Oryctolagus cuniculus: one gene and its partners. The protein of the gene in region 2 interacts with the protein of the main gene of each other region in a pairwise test. Links are inferred from orthologs where the notes say so. Each region holds a gene or a part of one and is shown on either strand. Other genes may lie near its edges.

The links.
Region 1: the proteins of AGTRAP (region 2) and MYG1 interact in binary tests that used the Homo sapiens proteins (3 or more experiments, as listed by UniProt). The two-hybrid records come from large-scale screens. The link is inferred for Oryctolagus cuniculus from reciprocal best matches to the Homo sapiens genes AGTRAP and MYG1.
Region 3: the proteins of AGTRAP (region 2) and HSCB interact in binary tests that used the Homo sapiens proteins (3 or more experiments, as listed by UniProt). The two-hybrid records come from large-scale screens. The link is inferred for Oryctolagus cuniculus from reciprocal best matches to the Homo sapiens genes AGTRAP and HSCB.
Region 4: the proteins of AGTRAP (region 2) and MCEE interact in binary tests that used the Homo sapiens proteins (3 or more experiments, as listed by UniProt). The two-hybrid records come from large-scale screens. The link is inferred for Oryctolagus cuniculus from reciprocal best matches to the Homo sapiens genes AGTRAP and MCEE.
Region 5: the proteins of AGTRAP (region 2) and AP3M1 interact in binary tests that used the Homo sapiens proteins (3 or more experiments, as listed by UniProt). The two-hybrid records come from large-scale screens. The link is inferred for Oryctolagus cuniculus from reciprocal best matches to the Homo sapiens genes AGTRAP and AP3M1.
Region 6: the proteins of AGTRAP (region 2) and NKG7 interact in binary tests that used the Homo sapiens proteins (3 or more experiments, as listed by UniProt). The two-hybrid records come from large-scale screens. The link is inferred for Oryctolagus cuniculus from reciprocal best matches to the Homo sapiens genes AGTRAP and NKG7.
Region 7: the proteins of AGTRAP (region 2) and RMDN2 interact in binary tests that used the Homo sapiens proteins (3 or more experiments, as listed by UniProt). The two-hybrid records come from large-scale screens. The link is inferred for Oryctolagus cuniculus from reciprocal best matches to the Homo sapiens genes AGTRAP and RMDN2.

The regions. Positions count from the first base shown.
Region 1 is NC_091442.1:56,311,165-56,315,537, forward strand, and holds the start of MYG1 (MYG1 exonuclease), read left to right. Parts: upstream 1-1,333; 5' UTR 1,334-1,382; coding exon 1,383-1,589; intron 1,590-1,717; coding exon 1,718-1,830; intron 1,831-3,864; coding exon 3,865-4,024; intron 4,025-4,373. Other genes in the region: PFDN5 (prefoldin subunit 5), read left to right, coding at 118-192, 274-379, 873-949. UniProt on the Homo sapiens protein: 3'-5' RNA exonuclease which cleaves in situ on specific transcripts in both nucleus and mitochondrion. Involved in regulating spatially segregated organellar RNA processing, acts as a coordinator of nucleo-mitochondrial crosstalk.
Region 2 is NC_091438.1:156,703,743-156,708,033, forward strand, and holds the start of AGTRAP (type-1 angiotensin II receptor-associated protein), read right to left. Parts: upstream 2,997-4,291; 5' UTR 2,905-2,996; coding exon 2,878-2,904; intron 1-2,877. UniProt on the Homo sapiens protein: Appears to be a negative regulator of type-1 angiotensin II receptor-mediated signaling by regulating receptor internalization as well as mechanism of receptor desensitization such as phosphorylation.
Region 3 is NC_091452.1:22,178,242-22,182,487, reverse strand, and holds the start of HSCB (iron-sulfur cluster co-chaperone protein HscB), read right to left. Parts: upstream 3,009-4,246; coding exon 2,773-3,008; intron 2,729-2,772; exon of another isoform or gene 2,661-2,728; intron 1,477-2,660; coding exon 1,380-1,476; intron 1-1,379.
Region 4 is NC_091443.1:11,955,379-11,959,692, forward strand, and holds the start of MCEE (methylmalonyl-CoA epimerase, mitochondrial), read right to left. Parts: upstream 3,000-4,314; 5' UTR 2,760-2,999; coding exon 2,705-2,759; intron 1-2,704. Other genes in the region: MPHOSPH10 (U3 small nucleolar ribonucleoprotein protein MPP10), read left to right, coding at 3,200-3,288, 3,889-4,314. UniProt on the Homo sapiens protein: Methylmalonyl-CoA epimerase involved in propionyl-CoA metabolism.
Region 5 is NC_091446.1:65,204,779-65,209,258, forward strand, and holds the start of AP3M1 (AP-3 complex subunit mu-1), read right to left. Parts: upstream 2,848-4,480; 5' UTR 2,522-2,847; intron 1-2,521. Other genes in the region: ADK (adenosine kinase), read left to right, coding at 3,039-3,103. UniProt on the Homo sapiens protein: Part of the AP-3 complex, an adaptor-related complex which is not clathrin-associated. The complex is associated with the Golgi region as well as more peripheral structures.
Region 6 is NC_091449.1:6,943,454-6,946,644, reverse strand, and holds NKG7 (protein NKG7), read right to left. Parts: upstream 1,767-3,191; 5' UTR 1,494-1,766; coding exon 1,340-1,493; intron 1,270-1,339; coding exon 1,123-1,269; intron 1,046-1,122; coding exon 911-1,045; intron 812-910; coding exon 753-811; 3' UTR 616-752; downstream 1-615.
Region 7 is NC_091433.1:164,777,403-164,781,175, forward strand, and holds part of RMDN2 (regulator of microtubule dynamics protein 2), read right to left. Parts: intron 2,605-3,773; coding exon 2,529-2,604; intron 1,642-2,528; coding exon 1,564-1,641; intron 1-1,563.

The DNA of each region.
Region 1 (4,373 bases), on a different chromosome or scaffold from region 2:
TGCCTTTCAAATAAATTAATTAAAAAAGAAAGAAAGAAGCCGTAGGAGGCCAAGCAGCTGGCCCACAGGGACTCGGGGCTCATGCTGGGCTGGTTCCCCTTAACCCTTGCCTCGCAGATGTACGTCCCTGGCAAGCTGCACGACGTGGAGCACGTGCTCATCGACGTGGGCACTGGCTACTACGTGGAGAAGGTGAGTGGGGCGAGGTTGGGGAAGATGCAGAATGTGGTCTAGGGTCTCCGGTTAGCCCCTCGTTCCCCTCTGGTCTTGCAGACAGCTGAGGACGCCAAAGACTTCTTCAAGAGGAAGATAGACTTCCTCACCAAGCAGATGGAGAAGATCCAGCCGGCTCTGCAGGAGAAGCACGCCATGAAGCAGGGTAAGCCCCGCCCAGCCCTGGCGGTGTGGACAGCCGCGGCGCCCCCTCTGCCCAGATCCCCGCGTCGGAAGGCCGTCCCGTCGCGGCTTGGGTACTGCTGGGAGGTGGAGTGAGGTGTAGGTAAAGGAACACACAGCCCGAAGAAGCAGATGCAGGCAACTGAAACCCTGGCTGCCTAGCAGGGTCACCCACTGCAGATCAACCAAACTCCCTGGAGTGGGGTAGGGCTTTGTCCCTGGGACCGGGGTCTCCTCACTCCCAGCCAGGACTGACAGCTGTGCTGACTGGGGCGGCCTTGCCACACGAGAACTTTCTGGTTATCCGCATGCATCGATAGTGTCCATTGTCACCCCAGTGACCGGCGCACTGACCCACACGTGGTGGACTCAAATGTTGAGTGCGCGCCCCCACAACGGCCGCGGGGTCCGAGGTCGCATGACTGCGACCGTAGTCGGTCCCCCAGCCGCACCCGACTCCCGCCTTCTCCCCACAGCTGTCATGGAAATGATGGGCCAGAAGATCCAGCAGCTCACAGCTCTGGGGGCAGCCCAGGCCACGGCCAAGGCCTGATCGCTTCCTGCAGGAGCGATGCCTCGGGGGCCCAGGACTTTGGGGGCCTGGCTGGGGGGGGGCGGGGGCGGGGGACTGGGAGCAGCTCAGGCGGTGCCTCGGGGCCCAGGACTCTGGGGCCTGGCTGGGGGCGGGGTGGGGGAGGGGCTTATGTTTATGTTTAATGTTAATAAATGTGCTGCCATGGCAGAATGTTGAGCTGTTCTTGCATTAAGCGAGGGGCCGGTGGTGCGATGGGAGGGGGCGGTAGTGAGGTGGGCCGCTCCCCAGAGCCCGTCGAGTAGGCGCGAGCGGTTCACCTGCGAGGCTGCACCCCAGACGCGGCGGGGAGCTGCGGACTCGTGGGAACAGCTGGCGAGCGGAAGCGGAACCGCGTGGGCGCTTCCTCTTCCGGGTCGGCTGTCCCCGCCCCCCCGCCGGCGCGGGGAGCTGCATGAGCCGCCGTCTTCTGCGTGGTTTCTTCCCGCTGCTGCCGCCCCTGCGAGCCAGGCGCTGCATGCTGAGCTCGGAGTCCGTCTCGGCCCCCAAGCGCCCGCGTCGCAGCTTCATGGCGCCGCCCCGGATCGGAACGCACAACGGCACCTTCCACTGCGACGAGGCACTGGCGTGCGCCTTGCTTCGCCTGCTCCCGGAGTACCAGGTGCGGGGCCGCGACACCGACCCTGGGACCCGCCCCTTCTAGGAGCCCAGGCAGCCGAGCCGGAGACCCAGCGCCCCCCCGTGCCCGTGCGACCCCCGGCCGCCCCCTCACCGCTGTGCTCTCCGCAGGATGCGGAGATCGTGCGGACGCGCGACCCCGAAAAGCTGGCCTCGTGTGACATCGTGGTGGACGTGGGTGGCGAGTACGACCCGCAGAGACACCGATACGATCATCACCAGAGGTGGGCTCATGGGCGTTCCTGCGGTTACTTTTTCCGGTCTCTCTTTCCTTCGCTCCAGCCTAAAGCTCGGGTTCAGCCGAGCCGCCGCCGCCGTCCTGAGAGCCCAGGGGCAGGGGGCTGGCGGCGGGCACGGCGCTGCTTGGACACCCACGGGCCATTCCGGGAGTGCTCGGGGTCCCTGCCACCCGTGTGGGAGGTCGGTCTGTCCCTGTCTGTGTCTAAGAATTAAAGAGTGGTTGTCCCTGAGGGCCCGTGAAGGTATTCTAAGTCTCTGCTCTTTGCTGTTCAGGCGCGCCCACTTCTTAGCTGCGGCTCAGAATAGCCCGTCTTCGGCCCACCCTCGCTCCTGCAAGCCACTCTGCCAGCCGCTGCTGGACCTGCCCCTACCTGGGAGCGGACCGGGGTCGCCCCTGCCCGTCCTGCCCGCTTGTCTCTCACACGTGGTCTTGCTTGTGTGTTTGAGGTTCACTGGTGTTTGTACAGCGCTCCTAGAATATCTAACGGAACATGAACACCCACAAGCCAGCCTCACAACCTGAGAGCTGAGACGTTACCGTGACCTCCACCTCCGTACCTGTGACCGCCTTCCCTGTCCCCAGCAGCAAAAGATGCCTGAAGTTTGTGTTCGTCACACCCTTGGGGTTTTTTGTTTGGATTTTGTTGTTTTATTTTTCTTTGAAAGACAGAGGCCTTCCCGGAACCACAGGTTCCCTCCTCAGGTGCTCACAGCAGCCAGGACTGAGTCAGGCTGAAGCCAGGGTCTCCCAGGTGGCTGGCAGGGACCCAGTAGGCAAGCCGTCACCTGTCACCTGCTGCCTTCCAGGGTGCGTGTGAGCAGGACGCTGGGTGGGAAGTGGAGCCGACTTGAACCCCGGGTCTCCGATACAGGGTGTGGGCATTCCAGGCAGCACCCTCAGCCCGCACAGCTGCCCACCTGCGTACCCGTGCTGCCGTGTAGGTTCACACAGCTGTGCATCAACGGGGCATGCGGTTTTGCCTCTTTCCCAACTTTGTCTCACCAGTTGTTGTACCGTTTTGTATTTTGTACCTGGTGAATATTATTTTGCATTGACTCAGTCTTTAGTAACAGAACTCATTAAACAGGCATCAGTGAGCTCCCCAGGTGATTGGAAGCTGGACTGGTATTTAGAAATGCCTGCCCTGGCTTCTCCCCTAGCGTCTGTCGCACCCTTTCCCTGTCCACTGCTGTGCGTGTCGTGGCTGCCTGGGTCCCACCCGTGTCACTGCAGTCACCTCCACGCCAGCCAAGCTCCGGCACACACCTGCCCACTTACCGCCCCTCCAGCAGCTCCCCCGCGTCCACGGGAAAAGTCCAGAACACTGCACCCAAGGCCTGCCATGGTCTGGCCCCTACCTGCCCTCCTGCGGTTTTTTATTTTAATGCTTGTTTGTTTTTCATCTGAAAAGCAAAGCAACAGACACAGATCTTCCACCTGCTGGTTCACTCCCCAAATTCCTTCAGCTGCCTGGGCTGGGCCAGGCTGAAGCCAGGAGCCAGGAGCTCTGCGTGGGAGGCAGGGACTCAGTGCTTGTGCTGTGTGCTGCATCCCAAGCGCAGCCTGACCCGCTGCCCGGCTTCCTCTCTGGCCAGTTCCTCGCTACCCCCAAGCGCCACGAGGGACTGGTCTCTCAGCCACCGTCCACGTCGCTCCCTCACCTGGAATGCTTGTTCCTGTGCCCCTCTGTCCAGTAAACCCGCTAACCCAGCCTTGGGGACTGTCCCGCAGGCGCTCCCCTCCCTGCTCCTGTTCAGTTGTAGCCAGAGTGCTCGCTCGCTCGCTCGGACCCTGAAGGAAGGCCAGGTCAGGGTCTTGGTTTTTAGCCTCGCTGTCTCCTGGCATGCAGTTCGCGTCGAATAGACCACTGTGGAATGAATGCGTGACTGGAGATGAAGCCAGCTGGCCCCTGAGGAGACCCAAGCCTTCGCAGACGGGCTTCCTCCCAGCTCCTGCACCAGTCCCCACCCCCGGCGGGCATCTGCTCCACTTCTGCCCGCCTCCCTGTGCCCCTCAGGTCTTTCACGGAGACCATGAGCTCCCTGTGCCCCGGGAAGCCCTGGCAGACCAAGCTGAGCAGCGCGGGCCTCATCTACCTGCACTTCGGGCACAAGCTGCTGGCCCAGCTGCTGGGCACCACTGAGGACAACGACGTGGTGGGCGTCCTCTATGACAAGGTGTGGACCCGAGACAGATGCGGCCCGGCACTCGCCCCGCTGCAGTCAGGCTCACCTCACTGGCCACAGGGACCTGCTTCCTGGGGGCTGAGAGTGGATGCATAACACAGAGAAAGGCTGTGGAAGCCAGCAAGCGGCACTTCCCGGGGTTTTGTTGCTTGTTTTTTTGTTTTTTCCCTTGACACCTGAAAAAGATGGAAACATCCAACCCAGAGGCTGTGGCTGCCCTGAAGGCTTTGATTGCCAGAGTAGCTTCAGGTTCCACCAGTGTGCCCGCAGGTGGGGCTCCCTGACCCTGCTCAGGCCTCCGCTTCCCCACCTGTTGCCTCGTGTGACACAGCCTTCGTGT
Region 2 (4,291 bases):
GGCCCTTTCTGTGTGAAACAAGCTCTGGACAGTCCCCATGTGTCTCCATTTAACAACTGTGGTGATGGCGTCTGCACCGCCCGGATACGTGGCCCGCATCATCCCTGTAATGGCACAGCTGAGAGCTGAGGCTTTGAGATGAAGCAGTTGGCTATAAACAGAGCAAACACAGTCTCAGAACTGGGCTATCTGGTCTGAGCCTTTAACCCCACGCTATGCTAGCCCGTGAATCACGGATCCTCCTCGGACCATCGGAAGGCAGAGTTCACAGTGAGGAAACGGACACTCAGAGAGGCTAAGAACCTATTCAAGGGCACACAGGAAGTAGCAAGGCTGACCACGAATGCCGGCCTGCCTGTTCCGAGGCCTGAGCTCTGCCCCTGGGCTGCACTGTCAGGACCTGGGAGGGGAAGGGCAGTGGAGCTGTGGCCATGTAGCCTGGAGAGGGGGGAGCTAAGGAAAACCAAGGCGCAGAGGACCAAGACTTAATCCCTTTCTTGGCCACTAGAGGACCCAAGGAGGGGCGCGGAGGGGGACTTCCTGGACAGGCCGTGGGCAGCAGCCATGCAGCGGGTGGAGCAATGCACTATGTCCCTTCCTGCCCTGTGCAACGCTCCCCGCCACCCCCTACAGCAGATACGGAGATCCCAGGGGCTGAGGCTGATGGGCAGTGGCTACGGTGCCTGGGAGCGGGGGTGGAGGCACGCTGTAGACCCGACCCCGGCTCAGTCGCCTGACTTCTTAGCAGGGACAGCGCTACCTGTCCCAGTGTCGTCGTCTGGATGCAGGGTACATGGGGTGGACAGGCACGTGCAGCGTCCACACAGCGCCTGCCAGGGACCGGCCCGAGGTACCCGGCAGCTCACACAGCCACAGTTGGAAGTCAGGGCCACTGGCTCCGCCCCCTCTCACCAGAACTCAGGAACCCAAGCCCAGTCCTTTCTAAGCTTTCTCATTCCTCCAGCTCAGCGCACGCCTCAGGAGGCGCGAATGGGGCTCAGTGAGGGACCGCCCTGTGTGCAACAGGCCTGGGGCAGCTCGTCTTCTCTCCTGGCCTCATGCCCGCTCCGGCCGAGCAGGACACAGCAGGCTCTCAGCCAATGCCCAAGGACTGCATGCATGGCGGGGGTGGGGCGGGGGCAGGCCACAGGGAGCCGGCACCCAGCTCTGACCTCAGGAAATCCGGGGAAGTGCCTTCCTCAAGGGGTTCACAGCTGCCCCCCACAGGGCAGTCCAGGTGTAGCAAACAGAAACACACCGTGAATTCTCAATCTGTTAATATGTCACAACTCACCAGCCAAGGATCTGTCCAAGACCCCCAGCGATGCCCGAGACCACAAACAGTATCTGTTCCAAGACCCCCAGTGATGCCCGAGACCACAACAGTAGCAAACCCTATCCATGCTATTTTTTTAATGTTTATTTACTTTCACCTGCGTGAAAGGCAGAGCAATGAGAGAGACAGAGACAGAGATCTCTCATCTGCTGGTTGACTCCCCACAGCTGGGCCAGGCCACAGCCAGGGCCCCTTAATTCCACGTGGGTGGCAGGGGCCCGAGCTCTTGAGCCATCAGCCACTGTCTGCAAGGGTGCATTAGCACGGAAGTTGGACAGGAAGTGGAGCAGCCGGGACTCAAACTGTCACTCCAATACGGGATGTGGGTGTCCCAAGCGGTGGCTCACCCCCCTGCGCAACACCCAGCCCAATTACATACACACCTAGGACAAAGCTTAGCTTATAAACTGGGCACCATAAGAGATTAACAACAATAATAGTGAACAATTATTAAAATAGGCTGCATCTGAAGTTATGTGAATACGGTCTCTCTCTCTCTCCCCAAAGAATCCAGACGGAAACTGACATTCGTGGGGCCTCGGCAATTTACGGCAATTTACGGGCTGAGTGAGCCGCCCCTGCTCCTCTGAGGACAGCACTGGCTTCCTCAGGCGGCTGTGATTCAACAACCAACCTGGCAAACCCCAGACCCCAAGGAGGAACCCTCCCTGGCAGTGCCCCCAGCTCCTTCCCTCAGCCGACCCTCTCTCAGCGGTCACTCTAGGCAAATCCCTGACCGCAGAAAAGTCAGCCAGCGTTAACCCCACGATGCATGCAGCAGACTGAGCACGCCCCCGACCCATCTCAGGGGCCCTGCTGGGAATTTCTTCCTGGCTAAACCTCCCAGCCCAGCCCCCCGGCCGAGGCCTGTGTGACCAGGAAGGGAACCCTGCCCAGGACAAGGCCCGGCACAGCCCGTGGGTACTGGCCCAGAAAGGATCGCACAGATCCTTCCTCGCCAGCCCTGTCTTCCATTCCTTATGGTGCTAAATGCTTCGTCACTCATGAGTAAAGAGGCATTCCTGGACACAGTCCCAAAGGAGCCAGCACCGAGACCCCAAACAGCCGGTTTGTGCCAAAGCTGGAGCCCCCAGGCCCTGGGCTGCATCTGGGTCCAGCACCCCAGGAGGCCCCGCAGGACCCCCCCCCCCATCACAAAGTCGGGATTTTCTGCTTTTAAGCGACACTGGAGTTCCTGTTTCTGGATGACGACACGACGGCGCTGGGTTGCAGGGTCGGGAAAGCCCGGTCGTCTGGCCACAGCTGAGCGTCTTAACCAGGTCTAGCTTGTAAAGATGGCTCCTGGGCAAAGGCCGAGCCCCTCTCCCGGCGGCCGCTCCTTCGGGGCTGGCGGGCCTCCCGCGCCCGCAGGCCCGACTCCGGGAGGGAGCCCCGGCCCTGCCCTGTCCGGCCCGGCCGCCCGCGGCTGCCCCTCGCGCCTTCCCGGCCGGCCTCCGCTGCCAGGGCCTGTCGCCCACCGCCCTCTCACCTGGACGTGTCCCCTCCCGTTCGCGCCACCACCCCCGCCCGCCCGTCGCCACCTTCAGGTTCACGGCAGGCAGCTCCATCACGACCCCGGCGGACGGAACCTGCGCGGCGGCCGCAGGGCCTCCTGGGATCCGAACTCGGGGAACCACTGTCCCGGCCCCGCCCCCGCCCGTTGCGGCCCCTCCAATCGCAGCTCGGCTCTGGGCCACGTGAGGCGGGCTCCGGCGGCCCACGTGATCGCCGCCCGGTTGCTAGGAGACGGCGTCGGGCTGTGCGCACGCGCTCTGGGCTCCGGGCGGCCGCTGCGCAGCAGGCAGTGGGGCCCCACCCCAGATCTCGGGGTTCCTGTAGCAGGGGGCGCGGTGGCCTCCTGCGTGGCTTGGATGCTGGGAGACCGGCTGATGGGACCTGCTGCAGGCTCCTGCAGAACCGGGAGAATCCTTGTGAGAAAAAGTAAATTAGCTCATGTTAAAGAAAAGATAATTCGCACCCTTGTTAAAGCCGCAAGGAAGATTATTCCAGACCGTGGGCCAGGGGTGAGAGACGCGGCTCAACTCCCAGTACAGGCGGGGTTTTCAGCCGCGGCCGAGCGCGGCGCGGGGGGCGCGGGCGGGCCTGGGATGCTTGCCAGCCTTGGCGGCGTGTTGGCTAACATTCGGGTTGTGCAGGCATGGCAAGGACAGGAACGCACAGACGGTCAAGGTGGAGACCCAGTCCAGAAGGTTTACCTTGTTCTTGTCCCCAGGAAGGGAGAAACCGCGTGGGAACTGCCCGAGTGGGACCAGAGATGATACCCAGACCTGGAGTCTCTCCAGAAAGAAATGACTTCCTGGATGGGTGGTGGTTTTCCAGGCGCATTGGGGGGGGGGGGGGCAACAGTAAAGGAAGACTTTTCTCTCTGTCTCTCTCTCTCTCTCTCACTGTCCACTCTGCCTGTCAAAAAAAAAAGGGCATTTCTTTTAAACGCGGAGGGGGGCTGGTGCTGTGTGTGGCCTGCAGTGCCAGTATCCCATATGGACGCTGGTTCGAATCCCAACTGCTCCACTTCCAATCCAGCTCTCTGCTATGGCCTGGGAAGGCAGTGGAGGATGGAGGATGGAAGCTCCTGGCTCCTTGCTTTGGATTGGATCAGCTCTGGCCGTTGTGGCCATTTGAGGAGTGAACCAGCAGATGGGAGGTCTCTCTGACTTTCAAATAAATAAATAAACCTTTTTTTTTTTTTTAAAAAAAAGAGTATTACCTCAGTCAGTGGTGGATGTTATAGCATTGTGATATTTATTTATCAATTTCTTTTTATGATCTATTTCCCATCCATACAAGGCCCTGGAAGTGGATCGGAATCCAAGCCGGCAGGTGTATGTTGGGCTCCGAAGGACACCCCAGCGTCCGCTGCTGTGGCGTGCTGAGTCCCGAAGATCGGAGGCAAAGCCTCCGCTGCCCTCCTGCCCCCCACCCCCGTCTCTGCAG
Region 3 (4,246 bases), on a different chromosome or scaffold from region 2:
TTTTTTTTTTTTTTTTTTAAGATTTTTTAAATTATTTGAGAGTCAGATTTACGCAGAGAGAGAGGGAGAGGTCTTCCATCTGCTGGATCACTCCCCAACTGGCCACAACAGCTGGAGCTGCGCTGATCTTCTTCCACTGATCTTCTTCCGGGCCTCCCATGCAGGTGCTGGGGCCCAAGGACTTGGGCCATCTTCTACTACTTTCCCAGGCCACAGCACAGAGCTGGATCGGAAGTGGAGCAGCTGGGGCTTGAATCAGCGCCTATATGGGATGCCGGCACTGCAGGCCCGAAGAAGCTCCTGGCTTCAGATCAGCGCAGCTCCAGCTGTTGCGGCCAATTGGGGAGTGATCCAGCAGATGGAAGACCTCTCTTTGCATATCTCTGACTTTCAAATAATTAAATAAATCTTGAAAGAAAGAAAAAGAAAAGAAATGGACCAGCCAGGACTTGAACTGGCACCTACATGGGATGCTGTCATGGCAGGCAGCACCGTAACCCCCTACGCCACATGTCAGCCCCCAAAAGCAGTTCCAGTTTTTTGTTTACTTAGGTGCCTGGCCATCAGCATGTTATGCCACCGTGCCAGCCCCTGATCCATTTCTGATCCAGGTCCCTGCTAATGTGCCTGGACAAAGCAGTGGAGGATGGCCCAAATGTTTGGGTCCCTGCGCCCATGTGGGAGACCCGGAAGAAGATCCTCGCTCTTGGATTTGGCCGGCAAAGCCCTGGCCGTTATAACCATTTAGGGAGTGAATCTGCAGAGGGAAGCTATCTCTGTCTCTTCCTCTCTCTATAACTTTGTCTGTGAAATAAATAAATAAATACATCCTTAAAAAGAGAGAGAGAAAAAAGGAATATTAACTAAATGTTAAAAAAAATAATTGGGGTCAGATCAGGTGGCTGGTGCCGCGGCTCACTAGGCTAATCCTCCGCCTGTGGCGCCGGCACACTGGGTTCTTGTACCGGTCGGGGCGCCGGATTCTGTCCCGGTTGCCCCTCTTCCAGGCCAGCTCTCTGCTGTGGCCCGGGAGTGCAGTGGAGGATGGCCCAAGTGCTTGGGCCCTGCACCCCATGGGAGACCAGGAGAAGCACCTGGCTCCTGCCTTCGGATCAGTGCGGTGCGCCGGCCGCAGCGGCCATTGGAGGGGGGGTCAGATCAGGTATCTTTATTTTCCACTGATGGGTTCTAAGTTGGTTGGGAAGTCAGAAAAAAAGTTCTGAGTGACAGCTCCAGGGGCTTAGCTGGCTGGGTCAAGCTGCCACAGAGTGGAACTGTTTGTTCAGCTCTATCCCTGTAAACTGAATAACCACAGGTCACTGCCACCCATCCTGTGTGCACACTTGTTTGGGGATCACTGGAGATGTCCAATGAGCTACCTGAGACCTCTGGCTGAAGAAATCTGGGTGGACAAGTCGCTGCAGCTCCTGGTACCTGCGCTGGAGCTTCGTGGTATCAACTCTGAAGGAACGGTTGCTGGAAGGAAATTGGAGATGAAATCCACACAACACAAAATGATAGATTTCTCTCCTGTTGGCCTGGTTCCTGCTCTTGGGGGAAAATGCAAGAAGCGCAGAGATGGAGATCACTTTAAAAATAGCTAAGTGCTCAGCCGGCGCCGAGGCTCACTAGGCTAATCCTCCACCTTGCGGCGCCGGCACACCGGGTTCTAGTCCCGGTTGGGGCGCCGGATTCTGTCCGGGTTGCCCCTCTTCCAGGCCAGCTCTCTGCTGTGGCCCGGGAGTGCAGTGGAGGATGGCCCAAGTGCTTGGGCCCTGCACCCCATAGGAGACCAGGAGAAGCACCTGGCTCCCGGCTTTGGATCAGTGCGCTGCGCCGGCCGTGGCGGCCATTGGAGGGTGAACCAACGGCAAAGGAAGACCTTTCTCTCTGTCTCTCTCTCTCACTGTCCACTCTGCCTGTCAAAAAAAAAAAAAAAAAAAAAAAAAAAGCTAAGTGCTAAAAGGGAAAAGAACAGGGGGTCAGCAAGGGTGGTAGACGCCAGGGCCCTCTGAGCTGAGCCTCAACCTGAACACGATGATGATGATGAGGATGATGATGAGTAATCCGAGATCAGGGGAGCGACACCCAAGCGCAAAGACCCGGGCGGGCAAGTATAGTCGCAGGCCGAGGAACTTCGAGGGCAGTGCTGCTACGGCCCATCCTAAGCACTCAGTGACCGGTGGCGGTAGATCCCAGAGGAGGGTGACCAGGCATCCCCAAACCCCACCCTGTTCTTCTAAAGCCCGGGGACCTTCGTCCCTGGCTCCTTTTTAATCCAAATCCCTTCGGCTTTCTACTCCCAGAGCCGGCCCTATTTCCTCACCAGCTCAGCTGTGCCCACATCTCCCCACCCCCAGGGCGGAAAACCCTCTTCTTCCAAGATCCACGTTCCCCCTAGGCCTTGCCCACGATGTGAAGTTCTCCGCCCACTCCTCACCTACACGTCCCACCCCAGCTTCCCCTCAGGTCTCCCCGCCCCCAAGATCCGCCCCTCGCCCGCTTCCCTCTCCCGCAGGGGCCGCCCCAGGGTCTCCCCCCACCCCGTCGCCTCCCCGTCCCCGCCCATCCAGCCCCCTGCCCACTCCGGCTCCACCCCTCAACGCCCCTTCCTCTCTCTCAGGACACCCCACAAACCCCACTTTCCGGGCTCCGCCCACCGGTCTTCCCGGTCCCGTCCTGTCCTTCCCACGCCTGGCCCGCCCTCCACGCTCGCAGGCCAGCCCCTGGCGCCTCTCTCCGCCATGCATTTCCCAAAACCGCCTCCCGTACCAATCCATGAGGCTGAAGTAGTCTCGAGCTCGGTCAGGTGGCTGCAGCGCGCGGCACTGCGGGCAGAAGAACCCGTCCCCCAGCCCAGGGGCCCCCGGTACACCGCAGTTCCAACATCCGGGCGAATTACTTCTCGCCTGCGACGCAGCATTGCAGCTTAACAGTCTCCTTCCGGGAACCCCTGCCGGCCACAACTCCCACACCCGGAGCAAGGCCCGGGACCTCCCGCTCCACATCTGGCCCGCGGCCGGTCTCCCCACCGGTGGGGAATAAGCGGAGAACACTGTCGACGAGCCTGAAGCTGCCGATTGGCTGAGGAGCTGCGGGGGCGGGATCACTGCAGTGAGCCCCAGAGACTGTGTTCCGCTCTGCCTCTTAAACTACAACTCCCGGCAAGCATTGAGCCTACGCGTGGCGGTCACATCCGCCGCTCCTCATTGGTCTGGCGGCGGCGGAGAGCGTTTTGATTGGCTGAGGGCGGAGTTTGTATCTTCAGGTTTAGCGCCACTCTGCTGGCTGCGCCTGTGGAGAGTGTGCGGCTGCAAGTGGGCTCACGCGGTGAGTCATAGTGGGGGAGCTCTTCTTGGGTGTTTGGGGGATCGAATCTCGTTCTCCAGGGTCTTTGGCGAGCAGAGTCTCTCAAGCTTCCGCTTCGTCTGGACTTCTGAGCCGGCGGCGGACTGCGTGGGCGGCTTTCTTCCTTAGATAATGTTTAACTTCACTTCCCTCCTCGTTATTTATACATTTAAATAGGCCAGGACCGCAGGGAACAGAGTTGTGCTCGTCACTGTCACAGCAGCGCTGCTTTGTAAAGAGGTCCGTGACCGATAGCAATTATGAACAGTTCTTTAGAGGCGATCTCTAAGCTATTGATGGCGAACCCAGGCTTGGCTGCTGGGCACCGCAGGACCTGGACACACACTGACCGGGCTGGAGCAAGTCCCTGCGAATGGCCACACGGACATACTGGGGTGCCGTGACCACGCGTTTGTGTGGCCCTTGTAAGCCTCTCAGATTGTCTGGGACTGGACTTCTGCTCACAGCCCTGGAGCTTTCCTGCTGCCACTTTGTCCCCTCACTCACTCCTCTGCTCCCAGTTAGCAACCATTACCCTAGGAGGAGCATTACACGCACTGGCGCGTTGAGAGCTCTGGTCTGGGTGCTTTTTTTCCAGATGAGGAAGTGGGTCCAGAGAGGCCGAGGCATAAGATCGTGCAGAAGTTCGACTCCAGTGCCTGAGCTCAGGCCTGCTGGCCTCTAGCCTCTTAAAGCTACCTCTTGGCACACTCTCCCCGCTCGTTGGGGTGGGGGAGTCGGGGACCCAGCCTGGCTGACCGTTTTAGATCAGCAGGTCAGGTGTGTTTTAAGGATCACACAATAGGACTTTGGTAATTTTTTTTTTTTTTTAATTTGACAGAGTTAGTGAGAGAGACAGAGAGAAAGGTCTTCCTTCCGTTGGTTCACCCCCTAAATG
Region 4 (4,314 bases), on a different chromosome or scaffold from region 2:
TAGCAGGAAGCTGGAGTCAGGAACCACAGCCAAGTATAGAACCCCAATACTGCAACACGGTATATAGGCATCTTAAACTCTAGGTTAAACACACATGCCTGTTAGCAGTTTTTTAAAAGATTTATAATTTACATGCCATAAAGTTCACCCATTTGAAGTGTACAATTCAGTAGTTTTTTGTCTACTTGGAAAGTTGTGCAACCTTTACATTCTCTAATTTTAGAACATGAAAAAAGTTTTTTAAGTCTGAATTTTTGCATATCTGGTTTGAGAAGATATATTTAGAAAGCTGTTTTAATTTATGACCTTTTTAATATGACATAACACTTATAACAAACATGCCTTTGAAGAACCTACAGGCTGGTTTTTATGCTCAAGGCTAATACACCCCGACCAGTCTCCACACACTCTCCATGTTTTACCAGCCACTGGGACTTAACATCAGCACAAGACAGAGTCCCATGGGGTAAAATAGTACTAATGTGACCTCAGATTCCCAGGACAAACCTATTGGTTTATTTTCCTGCTAGAGTTATACATACTTCAGTGCTCCTACGTACTCTTGCCTAAATCCATAATCCAAAGTAAATTGTGAAATTTCAAATACTGCATTAGACATGATACAGCAGCCTCTATCTGCCCACTAGACCTCACTAAGGACAGCAGTTCAGTAAGAACTTTGTGTAACCCTTCAACCCTGAGTCAGATATTATGTCCTCCATTTCAGGGATTAAAAAAAAAGAAAAGGCCTGACAGAGATTAAGTCATGTCCCTTAACATTATGCTAAATGGCGAAGCTGGGCCTCAAACCGTCTGGCACCAAAGCTGAGGCTTTTAAATCAGTACATTTACGTTGCTCATTCCTCTGAACCACTTTTTTTTTTTTTTTTTAAGACTTACTTACTTATTTGAAAGTTTGTTACAAAGAGAGAGAGAGAGAGAGAAAGATCTTCCATCTACTGGGTCGCTCCCAGGGACTGGGCCAGGCTGGAGCCAGTAGCTTCCTCCAGATCTCCTGTGGGGGCAGGGACCTAAGTACCTGGGCCATTCTCCACTGCTTTCCCAGGCACATTATTAGCAGGGAGTTGGATTGGAAGTGGAGCAGCCGGGATTCAAGCTGGCACCCATATGGGATGCTGGGAGGTGGCGCCTTTACTGGCTGTGCCACAACACAGGCCCCTGAACCATTCTTTTGATTCTCAAATTTTAGTATCTTTGTATGTGTTCTATGAGCAATTCCTACTTTCTAAGAGATGGCTTTCCAAGACAGAACAAGAGAGGACTCTTTTTTGCAAAGAGCTACTTGCCAAGGCAGATGCTGTGACATGGACATCTAGTCTGGGTGCTGAATGTTCCCCCACAGGCCCCTGTGTGGAAGCTCGGTTCCCAGGGTGGCGCTAATGGGAGGAGGCAGGGCCTGGAGGGAGTCCTCAGGCCACTGCACCGTCTTCCCTGGGAAGACGCTACTCCAGAGAGGGTTGTAAGAGAGGGTTTGGTCTGGTGCCCAACCGCGCTGCTTCCTGGCCTGTGACCTGCACCTTCCTCGGCAGGAGCCCACCACCGGCACCTACCACGCTCTCCAGAGGCCAAAAACGGTGCTGCTTGGTCTTGGACTTGAACTCCACAAAGTGAGCTACATACACCTTCCTCTTGCCTGGGGTACTGTGGCGTCCTAGTAAAAGCCAAAGCTATGGTGAATGAGTTAAGATACTGACTTGCAGCTCACAAGCACAGGAAGGCAGGGCTGCTGGTGTGTGCTATTACCAGCGGTGGGGGCCCACCGGTGAATCGCAAATTCGCGGAGGCTGTGCTCGGTGTGTTATGGTATTTCTCAGGTGTAAGATACCACAGCGCTGGGACAGCTAAACCCCGTTCCGGTGCACCTCTTCTTGGAATGCGGCTTCTCACTGAACCTGGGTGACCTGCGACGTGAGCCCACCAAGGAATGTGGTGACTGCGGAAAACGCCTGCACAGGTCAACCAGGAGCCGACGCGGTTTGAGCCCGGACTTCCAAGGCTGACCAGGTCCGCACGTTTCAATGGTGGGGCAGAGAAATCCAACCTTGACAAAGGCTCACGCCCTTGGCGCTAGGAGGATTTATCCCAAACCTCCAGGAGCAGCTCCCGTAGTTACCACCTGGCACTTTCCTGCTCACAGGAAATCTCAGACGAACGCTCGCCCTCGCACGAAGGGGAGAAGAGAAGGAAAAGACACACACAGGAGGAGCGTGTAGCCCTTAAGAAATAGTTTTTAAAAATGGAGGCGCAGAGAACTCCAGGAATGTCCCCTACCCGCCTGCCCGTCTCTTGCACGGTGCGGAATTCTTCCACCGCTGACCTCCGGCCGTGGCCAGCAGGTGCCCGGGCGCGCCGGGATGCACCGTCTGCAGGACTGGCCCTGCTTTCGGGGTTCTCCCCACCGCTCGGGGCGCGTCGCCCCACTCCCGTTCGCTCCTGCCCCCCTGCACAGGTTCCCTCGCCTCTCCGGCCGGAACATAAAAAAAGGGGCAAAATCATCCGCGCGCAGCTCCCGGGCCGGCAGCGCTGAGGAAACCCGGGTGCCGGGCTGAGCAGTCGCTGGGGGCTGCCGGGGGAGCCCAGCGCGCTCGAGCCGCCTGCTGCGCCCCCAGCGGCCTCCTCAGCCCCCTGGGCTCCCGTCCGCACGCCCGCCCCGCGGCGCAGCCCGAAGGCGCCCGGTATTCACCTACGGCGCTCGCGGCCCGCGCCGTCGCCGCCACCGCCTTCAGCGCGCGCGCCATTTTGGGAAGCGACCCGCTCAACACTGGCCCCCGGCCGGGGGGCGGGGCACGAGGCCGAAGGGGCGGTGACAGGGGAGCTGGGGGCGTGGCAACATAATACGATCCAGGAAGCTAGAACAGTGAGGCACTACTGCTTCTAAGGCGGAAACGTAAACCCGTGACGCATCGCCATTTGCGGCCCCACTGCAAAGCCAAACAGAAAGCCGAGAGAACGCTACCAGGGGCGATTTCCGGTTTCCCAGCCCGCCTTCCTGCGCAAGCGCAATGGAAGCTCGCGCGCTGCCTGTGGCTCCGGCTAGCGGTGGGTCGGGAACTTGTGTGCCGCGGAACCTTCGGTCGCCAGCTGCGGGTTGCGCGAGGCACGAGTTTGCTGCGCGGTTTCCGGTGGGGGCTCTTTCCAGTCTTCACGCGCGGAGCCGTGTCGCGAGTTGCCGGCGGCGATGGCTCCGCGGGTGTGGCGTCGGCGGACCCTGCAGCGCTGTGTGGAGGAGGTCAGCAAGGCCACCGGCCGGCCCGAGCGCTTCCTCACGTAAGTTCGCAGAGCCGGGGCACGGCCTCACGTGGGCTCGGGTTTCGGGCCCCCGGAAGGTTCCGGAGCTGCGTGAAGGGGGAGTGTGGTTCACTTTTCCCAAAATGTCAGACAGTTTCCGCACGCGCGGCCGGCCAGGACTTTAACATGGAAAGCAGCGCGGTGTGGCTTTTCCGTTGTGGGCTGGTGAGCTCCCACCAGAGGCCGGCTCGCGGCCAGCGCCGCGTCCTCGGGACGCGCACCTGCGTGTGCGCCCAGACCACGCTCACCTGTGCGCGCGCTGGACTGAAAGCTCGGGCTCGTCTGTCCACCCTGGCGACCGGGCCTTTCTGCGTTGTGCCCCGCGCTCCTCAGCGGTCCTGGGACTTGTGCCTCGGGCCTGAATTCTGAGTGCGACAACTACTATCCTGTTCGCCAGGCTAACTCCAGCGTAAATCTCCACCATCTGACTCTCCGTCATCATTTGCCTGGGATGCCAGAATCTATATCTAAAATTGACATGCATTTAAATTTGATTTTGCTGAAGAGTTTCCTTTATTTTAGGAGTGCTGTGAAATCACTGCGCATGTGTGTAATTCTCATTTACTCCCCCCCCAATAGGATTCAAGATGAATTGGCCTCCAACTTCATTTCTTTAACCAAAGTACTTTATGACTTCAATAAAACGCTAGAGAAAGGTGGGACCCATGGGAGTCCTTTACAGAAACTGGTGATAAATAAATTTGATGATGAGCAGATTTGGCAACAGTTGGAACTGCAGAATGAACCGATTTTACAGTACTTCCAAAATGCAGTTAGTACAGCAGTTAAAGACGAAGACATCAGTCTTTTCCCAGCGAACGAGGCCCAGCAGTGTGAGGAGGCTGGCTCAGAGGTGGAGGCTGATGGCTCAGAGGTGGAGGCTGATGGCTCAGAGATGGAGGTGGATGACTCAGAGGTGGAGGCCGATGGCTCAGAGAGGGAGGCCGATGGCCAGGAGGAGACAGCACAAGCCCTGGAGGAGGAGGAAGCCTCCGGCCTGAGCGG
Region 5 (4,480 bases), on a different chromosome or scaffold from region 2:
TGGTGCAGTGGGTTAAGCTGCCACCTGCAATGCTGACAACCTGTATGAGCACCAGTTCGAGTCCAGCCTGCTCCATTTCCAATCCAGTTCCCTGCTAATGTGCCTAGGAAAGCAGAAAAAGATGGTGAAGTACTTGGGCTTCTGCTATCCAGAAGCAGCCTCGTGGCTTTGGCCTGGCGCAGCCATGGTCATCGTGGTCATTTGGGGGAGTGAATCAGTAGATGGAAGCTAGCATTCTCTCTCTGCCTTTCAAGTAAATACATAAATCTTTCAGAAGAAAAGGAAGACAGGAAAAAAAATGGAGTAGATCCTGAAAGGTAAGAAGAATATTTCTCAAGGTTTAAAGGATGGTATGGACAGAGAGGGAAAAGCTGACGCAGGAGTGAGGGAATAAATGAAAGAAACGCCTTGAGGACACGGGAGAGGATGGCATTGGGAGTCAATGTGATTTAAAGAGAAGGGACCCTTTTAACTCTTCAAATAGAAGAGAAGAAAGTTTGTATTTGGTTTCAAGAAAATGATGACTTCTGTTTTCTCTGCATAATGCAATGGAAAGCCTCTTTTCCAAAAATACCATTTACGGGGCCAGTGCTGTGATATAGCAGGTAAAGCCACCGCCTGCAGTGCCGGCATCCCATATGGGCACCGGTTTGAGTCCCAGCTTTTCCACTTCTGATCCAGCTCTCTGCTGTGGCCTGGGAAAGCAACAGAAGATGGCCCGATTGCTTGGGCCCTGCACCCGTGTGGGAGACCCAGAGGAAGCACCTGGCTCCTGGCTTCAGATCGGCGCAGCTCTTGACAATTGTGGCCAATTGGAGAGTGAACCAGCGGATTGAGGGCCTCTCTCTGCCTCTCCTCTTTCTATGTAACTCTGACTTTCAAATAGATAAATAAATAAATCTTAAAGAAAAGAAAAAATAGAGAATTAAAAAAAATACCATTTGCTACTCATGAATTGAGATAAAACAGAGCTACTTAAAAATATCTAGTATATTGTTGAAAAGTCAGAAACACTGTAAAAATCACAAGGTTTATAAGAAAGGCTTGATAAGAAAAACGATCCTTATTGTAGAGAGCTCCCCTACTGATGATGTGTAAGTTTCAGGTAATTCTTCCTTTGCTCCACTTTTCCTATGGTCTGACTTGAAAACGTCTGGGGCTGGCACTGTGGTGTAGCCAGTAGATAAAGCCGCTGCCGGCAGTGCCGGCATCCCATATGGGCGCCGATTCGAGTCCTGGCTGCTCCACTTCCCATCCAGCTCTCTGCTATGGCCTGGGAAAGCAGAAGATGGCCCAGGTCCTTGGGACCCTGCACCCGCGTGGGAGACTTGGAGGAAGCTCCTGGCTTCGGATCGGTTCTGGCAGTTGTGGCCAATTGGGGAGTGAACCAACAGATGGAAGACCTTTCTCTATCTGTCTGTGTAACTTTGACTTTCAAATAAATAAATAAATCTGTAAAAAAAAAGTTCCTTTTCTTTCCAAAATTAATTCACCCACTGGTACCATATCATCCTCTTCCTTCTCATCCGGCATTTTCTCTTCTCTTTCTAGAACCCTTAATCTAGCACACTGATTATTTGCTTTCTACTCCCAAACACATGTCTTGTATTCGAAACAATCAAATTCAAACTTTTCATCTCACCACTCTGAGTAATCGGGCTTCATGCCCCAAATGATGAAGGATTAGTCTACACTGCATTATTAAAGCAGCTCTCTCAAACGGCCCAAAGATTCTCTAGCCTTCAACACTTTACTACTTACTCTTCGATTTCAGCTTCCTGCTTGGGCTCTTGCAGCATTTCATGTCTGATAACCTTCCTGAACACACCACAAAGGCTTCTTATCATACTCTACGGAATGTCATGGTTTTGTTTCTCACCCTGAAACTTAATTCCCAGTTTAGTTCTCAGAGGTCGCCCCTCCGCACACAAAATTAATCTCTGCTAATCTCCACCTAAAACATTCTTTCCAATTCGATAAATCCCACAACTCCACACAACCCCTTCTCCTTTTGTGATGGCTCCCAATTTTATACTGACATCACCTTCTTCATCAAATAGGCTGTAAATTCAGGTGCAAACGAATCTAAAGCCAACATGCCACATTGCCCACTTTTCCACAGTCACCTTTCTTCGGAACAACGGCAACATCCTCCTAGTATTCTCCACCCTCTAACAGGATGTCCGCTCAGGGCCATTAGGAGTTTTGTCATCCAAAAAGGAACCCTGGGGCTAATTCGAATAGTCAGAACTCCAGCTCCCTGAGGCAACAAGACCCTTTTCCCGTCCGGGAGCACGGAGAAGGACGCCTACAAGCAGGACCTTGTGCCTGGGAACACTGCCCTGCAGGTGCATCTTTCTCTTCCGGCCCAGCTGGCAGGAAAGCCCGGAAGGCCGGGAGCCGGAGAGAGGTGCGGCTCCAGGTCGCAGCAACAGAGACGCTCCTGGGGCCCAGAGCCTCAGCCATTCAGCCTACTACCCAGCTGTCCCCTGTCTGCAGACTCCCCAGTCTCCGCACTCACCCGGACACCCAGGCCAGTCAGTCTGATTCGGCGCCGGGTCCTCTCCGGACCAAAGCTGAGGCAGCAGAGAAAGCCGTGAGGACCCCGCAGTTGGAGTGCCCAGAAGATCGCCTGACTAACAGCTTCAAAGACTCAAACTCGGTCTCCCGAATTAGAAAGATTAAATAGCAAGATAGGCGTTAGGTGAGAGAAAAGAAATTTCTTAATGTTTGGGATTTAAGTCTGCTAGTTCATCTAGGATCTAGGAAAAGGGCGGGATTCCGCACCGTTTGGACTCAGGCGCTCATCTGCAGCCTAACTCAGTCTCGGGTCCCCTACAGTGGAGTGGGTGGGGCCATGAGGGGGCGGGGCAATACAGGGGTAGAGCCAATGGTGGTGGGTGAGAGAGTCATGGAATGGGCGGTGTTTCGGAGGGCGGGGTTTGGAGAAAAAAGGCGGTGATGCGTGGAGGGGGCGGGCTCAGAGGGCCGAGGGGGTGGGGCGGTCGGTGGAGCCCAAGTAGGGTGGGAGCGCGAAGATGGCAGCTGCTGAGGAAGAGCCAAAGCCCAAAAAACTGAAGGTGGAGGCGCCGCGAGCGCTGAGGTGAGCGCTGCCCGAAGTGGGGAGGAGGGTGACGGCGCCTTCAGCAAGCTAGGGCCCACGTGGGGTTGCGCAGCCCCGGCGTTCGGTGGTGTCCGGCTGCCTGCCTGCATGGGGCCAGCACGCCCGACCTGTCACTCAGGGAGCTGCTCGCGTGGCCGCGACCCCTCGCCCGTCCCCATCTAAGTTTACTTGACTGGTCGTCCGCTCCAGTGCAGCTCCGGTTCTGGCAGCTCTCCGCTAGTCAGGGCGGCCGGCGGTGGTTGGTGGTAGTGGGGGGAACTGAAGCCGATTGCAGGCACCACGTGCGTCCCGCGCTGCTGGACTGGTGCGACCCTGGAGGACCGGTCCGGAGCAGCGTCCGTAGGCAGCCACCTTCGCTTCCCAGAGGGAAAGCGGGGAGAAGGCCTGTGTCTGTCCAGCTCCGGGACAAACAGAATTCTTGGGAATTTTTTGACAAATGTCGAGGAAGGATGCCTTGACCTAAGGCATACGCACTTTGAAAACTGGCACCTTTGGAGACCTTCTGTCGGGGACCCATACCCCACCTGGGAGGCTTTGCAGGCCGAGTGGATGGGAAGGGCTGGTTTTCTTTTTTATTTGCATTTTTTTTGGCTGCAGTTTAGAATTTCTTTCCCCAACACCAGTCTCATGTATGATTGATGTTGCAACTTTAACTTACAAAAAGTCGTTTGTTAAAAACTGCCTTCCTAGCAAGTATAAAGTGCAGCGGCACAGTCTTTGATGATTTTGAAGTGTTCGTTGGAAGGCGGGGATTTTTTTAAATCTAAAAATAAACTTTCAAACTAATTTAAAGCTATTGAAACACTACTGATTATACAAATTCCATTTCTTCCAACTCTTCTTCGCTTCCAGAAGATTGATTTCATTCCTAATTGAAAACGTCATTTAGGGACATGGTAGTGTGTTCATACTGTTTTGAAAGGAGAGAGAGACTAAATCCCTGCCAGTGCTTCTTTTTTTTTTTTTTTTTTAAGATTTATTTATTTATTTGAAAGGCAGAGTTACAGAGAGGCTGAGGGGGAGAGAGAGAGAGAGAGAGAGAAATAAAGTAAGTCTTCCACACACTGGTCCACTCCCAAGATGACCGCAACGGTCGCAACCACGCAGATCCAAAGCCAGGAGCCAGGAGCTTCTTCCAGGTCTCTCACATGGGTGAGGGGCCCAAGGGCTTTAGCCATCTTCCACTACTTTCCTAGGCCACAGCAGAGAGCTGGATTGACAGTGGAGCATCCAGGACTCAAACCACTGCCCACATGGGATGCCGGCACTGCAGGCTTCACCTGCCATGCCACAGCGCCGGGCCTCCTGCCAGTGCTTTTAATGTATCCCCACTAACTTTGAAAGATTAATGTGCCT
Region 6 (3,191 bases), on a different chromosome or scaffold from region 2:
ATCCCGCTCTTTTGTGTTTTTTTTTTTTTTTTTTTTTTTTGACAGACAGAGTGGACAGTGAGAGAGAGAGAGACAGAGAGAAAGGTCTTCCTTTGCCGTTGGTTCACCCTCCAATGGCCGCCGTGGTAGGCACGCTGTGACTGGCACACTGTGCTGATCCGGTGGCAGGAGCCAGGTACTTATCCTGGTCTCCCATGGGGTCCAGGGCCCAAGCATTTGGGCCATCCTCCACTGCACTCCCTGACCACAGCAGAGAGCTGGCCTGGAAGAGGGGCCACTGGGACAGAATCCAGCGCCCCGACCGGGACTAGAACCCGGTGTGCTGGCGCCGCAAGGCGGAGGATTAGCCTAGTGAGCCACGGCGCCGGCCGCTCCCACGCTCTCAATCTGGCTCCTTCATCTCCCGCGCTGACCAGACCAGCCCTGTCCTCCCGCGAAGCACCCCCTCCCGTGGTGTTAGAGACCCTGGCTCCCACCTGCCTCTCACCTGCATTTCCCACTGCCCACCCCTACCTTCTCCACTCACTGAAAACTCCTGGCTTCTCCAGGGGAGGGGGCCACCTTCGGCCTTCAAGGAGCACCTACGGTAACATCTCGATTGGATTCACCCCAGAATAGCCAGAAACCAGCAAATCTTTGTTGGATCAATGCAGAGACAAGGGAGGGGGCTGGGGGGAGGCCAGGCGTTAATCCGGGCGAGGCTTTTGGAGAACCGGGCTCCGAATTGATCCTGCGTCGCTCGCTGCTGCTGCTCACACGGCTTCATAGCCAGACCGGCGCACGCCGCAGAGAGCGCTCAGGCTCAGGGCACCTGGAGTGCCAGAGAGCCTTTAAACACTTGCCCCCCCCCCCCCAGCCCAGCTGGGTCCTCCCCACCCAGAGTCCCTGGGGCAGAAGGCTGGGTGGTTACCTGCCCACAGCAAGAGGATGGCTGAGACCCAGCCCAGGTAGAAGGACCAGGAGAAGAAGGTCTGGATCTGGGGGTGTGAAGGCTGGCCCCACCGCTCGCTGGTGTACACGGCCATGGCCACGACCATGGAGAGCGCTGTGGGCGAGAGACAGCTCTGCCTGGGCACAGGGACTCAGGGGGTCCCGGCACCCAGGTCCGGCCCAAGTCCTTACCTGCAGCAAAGGCTGAGATGGTGGAGATGAGGTGGCCACGGCCCAGGGCGGACAGCGAGCGGACATAGGACAGGGCCAGGAAGGCCACCGCCACCAGGACCCACATGGCAGCCAGGACACTGAAGGTCTGCGTCACGTGGATGTAGCCTGCTTAGAGACAAGACTTAGTGCCCGCACCTCCCGGTGACCCACCGCATAACAGCCCCGGCCCCCTTACCTGCCACTGGGTCCTGCGGGTCTTTGGGCCACAGCCCTGAGTGAGCCGAGATTGGCCCTACGGCCACGAACCAGTAATCGGTGCTCAGAGCGATCACTGTGCATGCCAGGCCCAGGCAGCCAGCCAGCAGGGCAAGGCTCCGGTAGGGTTCCATGGGGTGCGCGTTGGGTGTTGGAGAGAGGAGGGGCTGTGCACGCAGTCCCCGGGGGTCCTCAGAGCTCAAGAAAGCACTGGCAGCCGGCAGGCGGTCGGGAGTGTGGAGGCTGGTTTGGTTTCACAGTTTCTAGCAGCCAGCTCTTCACACACCCTCCCTTCCTGGGTTGCACAGACAACGGTCCATTCCCCTCCTAGCCGGGGTTGGGGGAGGGCTCTGGGGGTGTCGGATCGGTGGTTTGGGTGGTGGCTTAGAGCTCGCCTCTCTTGTCGCAGGTTCTGGTCGTCCCACCCCAGAAACCCTCAATACCAGACAGGGCTTCCTGGAAGGGGTGAGAGAGAGAGAGAGAGAAGCTAAGGGCCTCCGAAGTGGGAAATGGCCAATCAGGCTGGGGCAGGAGCTAACTGGGAGGGGAGATGTGGCCAGAGGGGACAGTTGGGGATGTGTCACTCTTTCCTGTGGTTCTGCAACTTGTCCTCCAGGGACAGGAGGGGCCCCTCTCTAGGGTCTCCACCAGAGGAAGCGGGGTGGGGGGTAGTCCCAACTCCAGGCCCTAAGGGAGGAAGGGGCAGGTGGGAGAGCTAAGGCTCCTGGGTTTCCCATTTGGGAGCTTATGCCCGGGACAGGCAAACCCTGTTAAGCTGCAATTCTGGAAGGTTTATGGGGAGGAAGTCCTGCCCACATCCTCACTGATAACGGAATCCAGAGGCAGCTCTGCTTGGACGGGGTCCCCCAGCATGGTAGGCCTCTTCATCAGGGCTAGGGTGGTGGGAGCCCGGGCCAGAGAGGGTCCCAGGGACGCCGGGGCGGGACCCTCAGCCCTCCAAGCACTCATCGTCATCGGCACCAGCATCAGGACCTGGGTGACCCCTCGCCTGTGAGCAGGTGTAAGGTGCAGGTGCCACAGCCCAGGACAACTCAACCTCTAGGGCAGCAGGGAACATTCCAGAAAAGGGGCTCAGTCGTAACCATTCACTGGGCTGGCGGCTCCAGGACAGCTGGTGAATGCAGAGCCAGAGTGGACCAGGAGGCCAGAGCTTCTCTCTTGTTGGAGGCCTGGTTTGCAAGCCCCCAGACACTCAGCCGCAAAGACAGCAGCTGCTCCTAAGGACACGTCCACAGGGACAGGCTCCCGGAGGCAGACGAAGCTGCCATGAGCAGCGTGGAAAGAGCAGAGTTCAACCCCATTCCCAAATTCAAGATCATCCCCATCTACATAGCATCCCTGCCTACACCAGCTATAGGTTCAACACCACCCCCAACACTGTCCTCACCCCACCTCCAACCCCTAACTTAACTCCCCACCCATCCCCAAAACCAACCCTCTCCATCTTATCCCAGCTCCCTCTCCAAGCCTAACCCTGTCCTCATCCCGTAAGTTCTATCCTCTCCTCTCCAGCCTCGGCCCCACCCCCGCTCTCTCCCTCATTCTCCCCCTCCCAGCCCCCATCACTCCTACCTAACCAGCCCATTTCCACCACCTGCAAGTCCAGGTCTATTACGCTCAAGTGCACCCCACCAGCCCCACCCCCAAGTCCCCAGGTGGCCTGCCTGTACCTGGGTGCAGCAAGTCTCTGCCCATGTAGGAATTGCAACCCAACAGAGGCCCTGGTTCTCCGAGCCCCTGGAGCGCACACCTCTGGAGAGGCAGACAGAGCCCACCGAGAAGGGCGCGACAGCCAGGCAGAGAATCAGGCC
Region 7 (3,773 bases), on a different chromosome or scaffold from region 2:
AAAAAGAGAGAGAGAGAGAGAGAGAGAGGGAGAGAGAGAAGAAAATAGACAGCTAAAAAAGGAAATATTCATCAGAAGATCTGTGTTGAATCCCAGAAAGAGGGGCATGATAGGGAACGATGCTGAGGTGTGGTTGCTCATCTGACTGGTGATTCTGGGACGACTGCAGAGCGTTTCTCAGCTCGGTGTGTGGGAGGTACAGGACCCTGCCTGGGCTCTCTTCCTACCTACTCCACACTGCTCACAGGTCTTCTGAAACAGAGGCAGCAACTCAGAAATGTAAACAGCACCATGAGCCTCAAAGCAGAGGCAGCATAGCGTGAGGACCCAGCATACATATTTAGAATCCAGGAGATTTTTTGTTTACCCAATAATCACCAAAAGCAAATTTTGTATCATCATTTACTTTTTGCTTCCTTCTAAATTTTTTTTCATTTTTCCCCCAAAATGAAGGTACTCCAAAATGTTCATGGAGAATGGAATTAAAATATAAGCTAAATTTGGTACAAAACATTTTTGAACTTCATGGATATACGGAGTCATTAGAAAGCTCATGAAAATGTGTATTATGAAAAATATTTATGGATTTCCTAATTTTGCATCTAAATTTTGAAAACCTATTGTATGCATTATTTTCTATTTACAAAAAATTATTTCCTTGCTCTTTTACATAATTTCACCTATTGGTATATTTATTTCTGATTGGTTTTGAACTTTGTAAAAAATGATACAGTGTTTATTTCCTCAGGTGTATCAGGTTATAATCTACATTAAAGTGAAATTTCACACATTGCAGGCATAGTTAAATAAGTTTTGATAAATGTATGCAACATGTAACCACCACAATCAAAATACACTGTAGTTTATTCTCTCATCCCCTAAGTGCTCTGTGCCCCTTTGCAGTCAATTCCCTTCCCTACTCCTAGGCAATGACTGACCTACGACTGTGGTTTGCCTTTTCTAGAATTTCATATCAATAGAAATATGCATCATGTTGTCTTCTGTGAGCCTCTTTGGCATAATGCTTTAAAAAGTCACCCAGGGTGATGTGCTGCCAACACGACCATGACCATTCATGTTCTAACCATTGAGTGAGTGTGCATTTTGTTTCTCTTGGTAAATACTTAAGAATCACTATGTTATTTATTCCTATATTAATTTATTGTTCATATATTCCCACCAGAATATATGAGAGTTCCAACTGTTCAATATCCTTGCCAACACCTCAATCTTTTAAATTTTAGCCTTTTAAATGAGTATGTAGCCAGAGCCACAAACTTGACTACTGCAAAAGAAAAGGAAAATACAAGGAAAGAAGAAAGAAAAAATATATAAAATACTGCATATAACACAAGATATTCAAAGTTGGAAATTATAAAATATATAGTCAATTTTTAAATAATATATAAAATTATAAAACATATAAATTCATAGAAAACATAGGCTGATTTTATAGTTTTCCCTATAGTAGGTATAGGGTAAAAATGAAAGAATAAATACATCACTAAAGATGTGAATCACAGTATATTCAAATAAGATTTATAAATAAAGGCATATACTTACAGTATAACAGTATCTTCCCTTGAGGTAATACAAAAAGGGTTCTTCAGGTAGAAGTTGGATTGCTATATCCAAATGTTCCTGAAAGAAGCATCCAAAGGAAAAGTCATCTCCCAAGGTTCAGATATTATTGAATGGAACCATGCCAAAGCCTAGTAACTACAACGTGATTTTACAATGTTATTGCAGCACCCTCAATCCGTAACAACTGAGACAATTAAATCTCAATAATTCAGTGCTCAAAAGTGACTGTCAAAACCGGGACCAAACCTGTGATCATGACTTCATAAAGCTACGTATAATTTAAAGCCAAAAAATTGCTATAGAAATTAGAAAACACCTAAAGTTTTTCTGCCCATGACTTACCTAGCTAGTACTGATTCAGAGGAAAGCTTACAGACATCAAATGGCATGGAGCAAGGTGTAGTGGAAGAAAAATTAGTGGACCTAGATGGGAGAGGAACTATTCCCCTGGTATTATCAAAATGGGTATAGGCAGCCAGAAAACAAGAAAGAACTATTCGATCCTCCTGGAATTACTGACCCTGCAGGCTTATTTTTGAGCGTTTTAACTAGAGCAGATGACAAATGATGTGTATGTGGATTATTATTTTGTTCATCTATCACGGAAAATTTAGCCCTAGATTGGATCTTAACTCCTCCCACCAAGTATGTGGAAAGATTGCTGACTAACTAGACCCAGTCACATGGGTGATGTTGGTGAGCTTGTGACCAACAGGTTAATCCTCCAACTTCGAAAAAAATAATACTCATCCACTATGTGACTTCTTAGAGGCTGTGTAATAATAATATTTAACCACACAAATAGTTTGATTCCTTTTGTCACAGCACTATTTATGGAGTGCCATTTCATTGAAACAACAATGACAACACATTTCTAGAGCATTAATTTATACCTGTTAATGAAATATAGACCTACATTAAAACATTTTTAATATCAAAAATACCTTGAAGCAATGCCCGTAGTTGATTTTGTTTTGTAAACCCTCAAATTCAGATACATAGCCACACAAAACTGCATACCTGAAAAACATAAAAACAGTATCTGTCATGTAAATTTAAAATTGTATACCTCCAAAACAATGTTTTTTAACAAAAAAAATTCACTAATTTTTTAAATAGAAGTACTTGAAGAGATGCAACAGCCTTAAATTAATAAATACTTGACATTAATATGAGGCAAATTTCCTCATCTACAAATGGGGATACCAACACTGCGTATCTTATGTGTATAGTGTGAGGATAAAATGAACTGAAATATGTAATGTGCTTAAAACTGCACCTGGCTCAAAAGGAGTTCTAATAAACATTAACTGCCTTTATTACTGCCATCATCAACTCAAAGTCATGAAGAAGCTTGCTCTTAGGAAAAGTCTATTAAATTAGAAAAAACCACAATTCTCTTTTAAAACATTGATTTATTTCTTTGAAAGGCAGAGTTACAGAGAGGAAGAGACAGAAAACAAGTGCGAGTGCGAGATAGAGAAAACTCCCATCCGCTGGTTCACTTCCTCAGTTGGTCACAATGGCCAAGGCTGGGCCAGGCCAAAGCCAGGAGACTGAATTCCATCAGGGTCTCCCGCATGGGTGGTAGGGACCCAAGCCTTTGGGCTATCTTCTGCAGTTTTCCTGGCATCCTATTTGAGATCCAGTATGAGCCCTGGCTGGGTTACCTCTTCTATTCCAGCATCCTGCTAATGGGCCTGGGAAAGCAGCAGAAGACAGCCCAAATCCTCGGGCCCCTGCATCAAGTGGGAGACCCAGAAGAAGGTTTTGGTTCCTGCCTTCAGCCTGGCCCAGCCCTGGTCATTGTGACCATTTGGGGACTGAACCAGTGGACAGAATATCTCTGCCCTTCTCTCTGTCTCTCCTTATCTCTGTAACTCTGCCTTTCAAATAAATCAGTAAAGAAATAAATCTTTAAAAAAAAACCTCATTGTTCCTAAAAAAATAAAAACAAAAATTCTATGACCTCTTTTAATGCCCTTGAAAATAACAATAAATACAAAAGGGTTTTAAAAAATTCATGGAAAATTCATGTTATCTTTCTGAGATTTTTTTCTTTTCATTTCTTTTTTCCTCCAGAAACCATTTACCTAAGGTATACAAACTTCATGCATTTCATAAATGGAACTTTAGGAACATAGTGATAGTGATTCTTGCCACTGTACTCCCCTCCCAACCTACTCCCA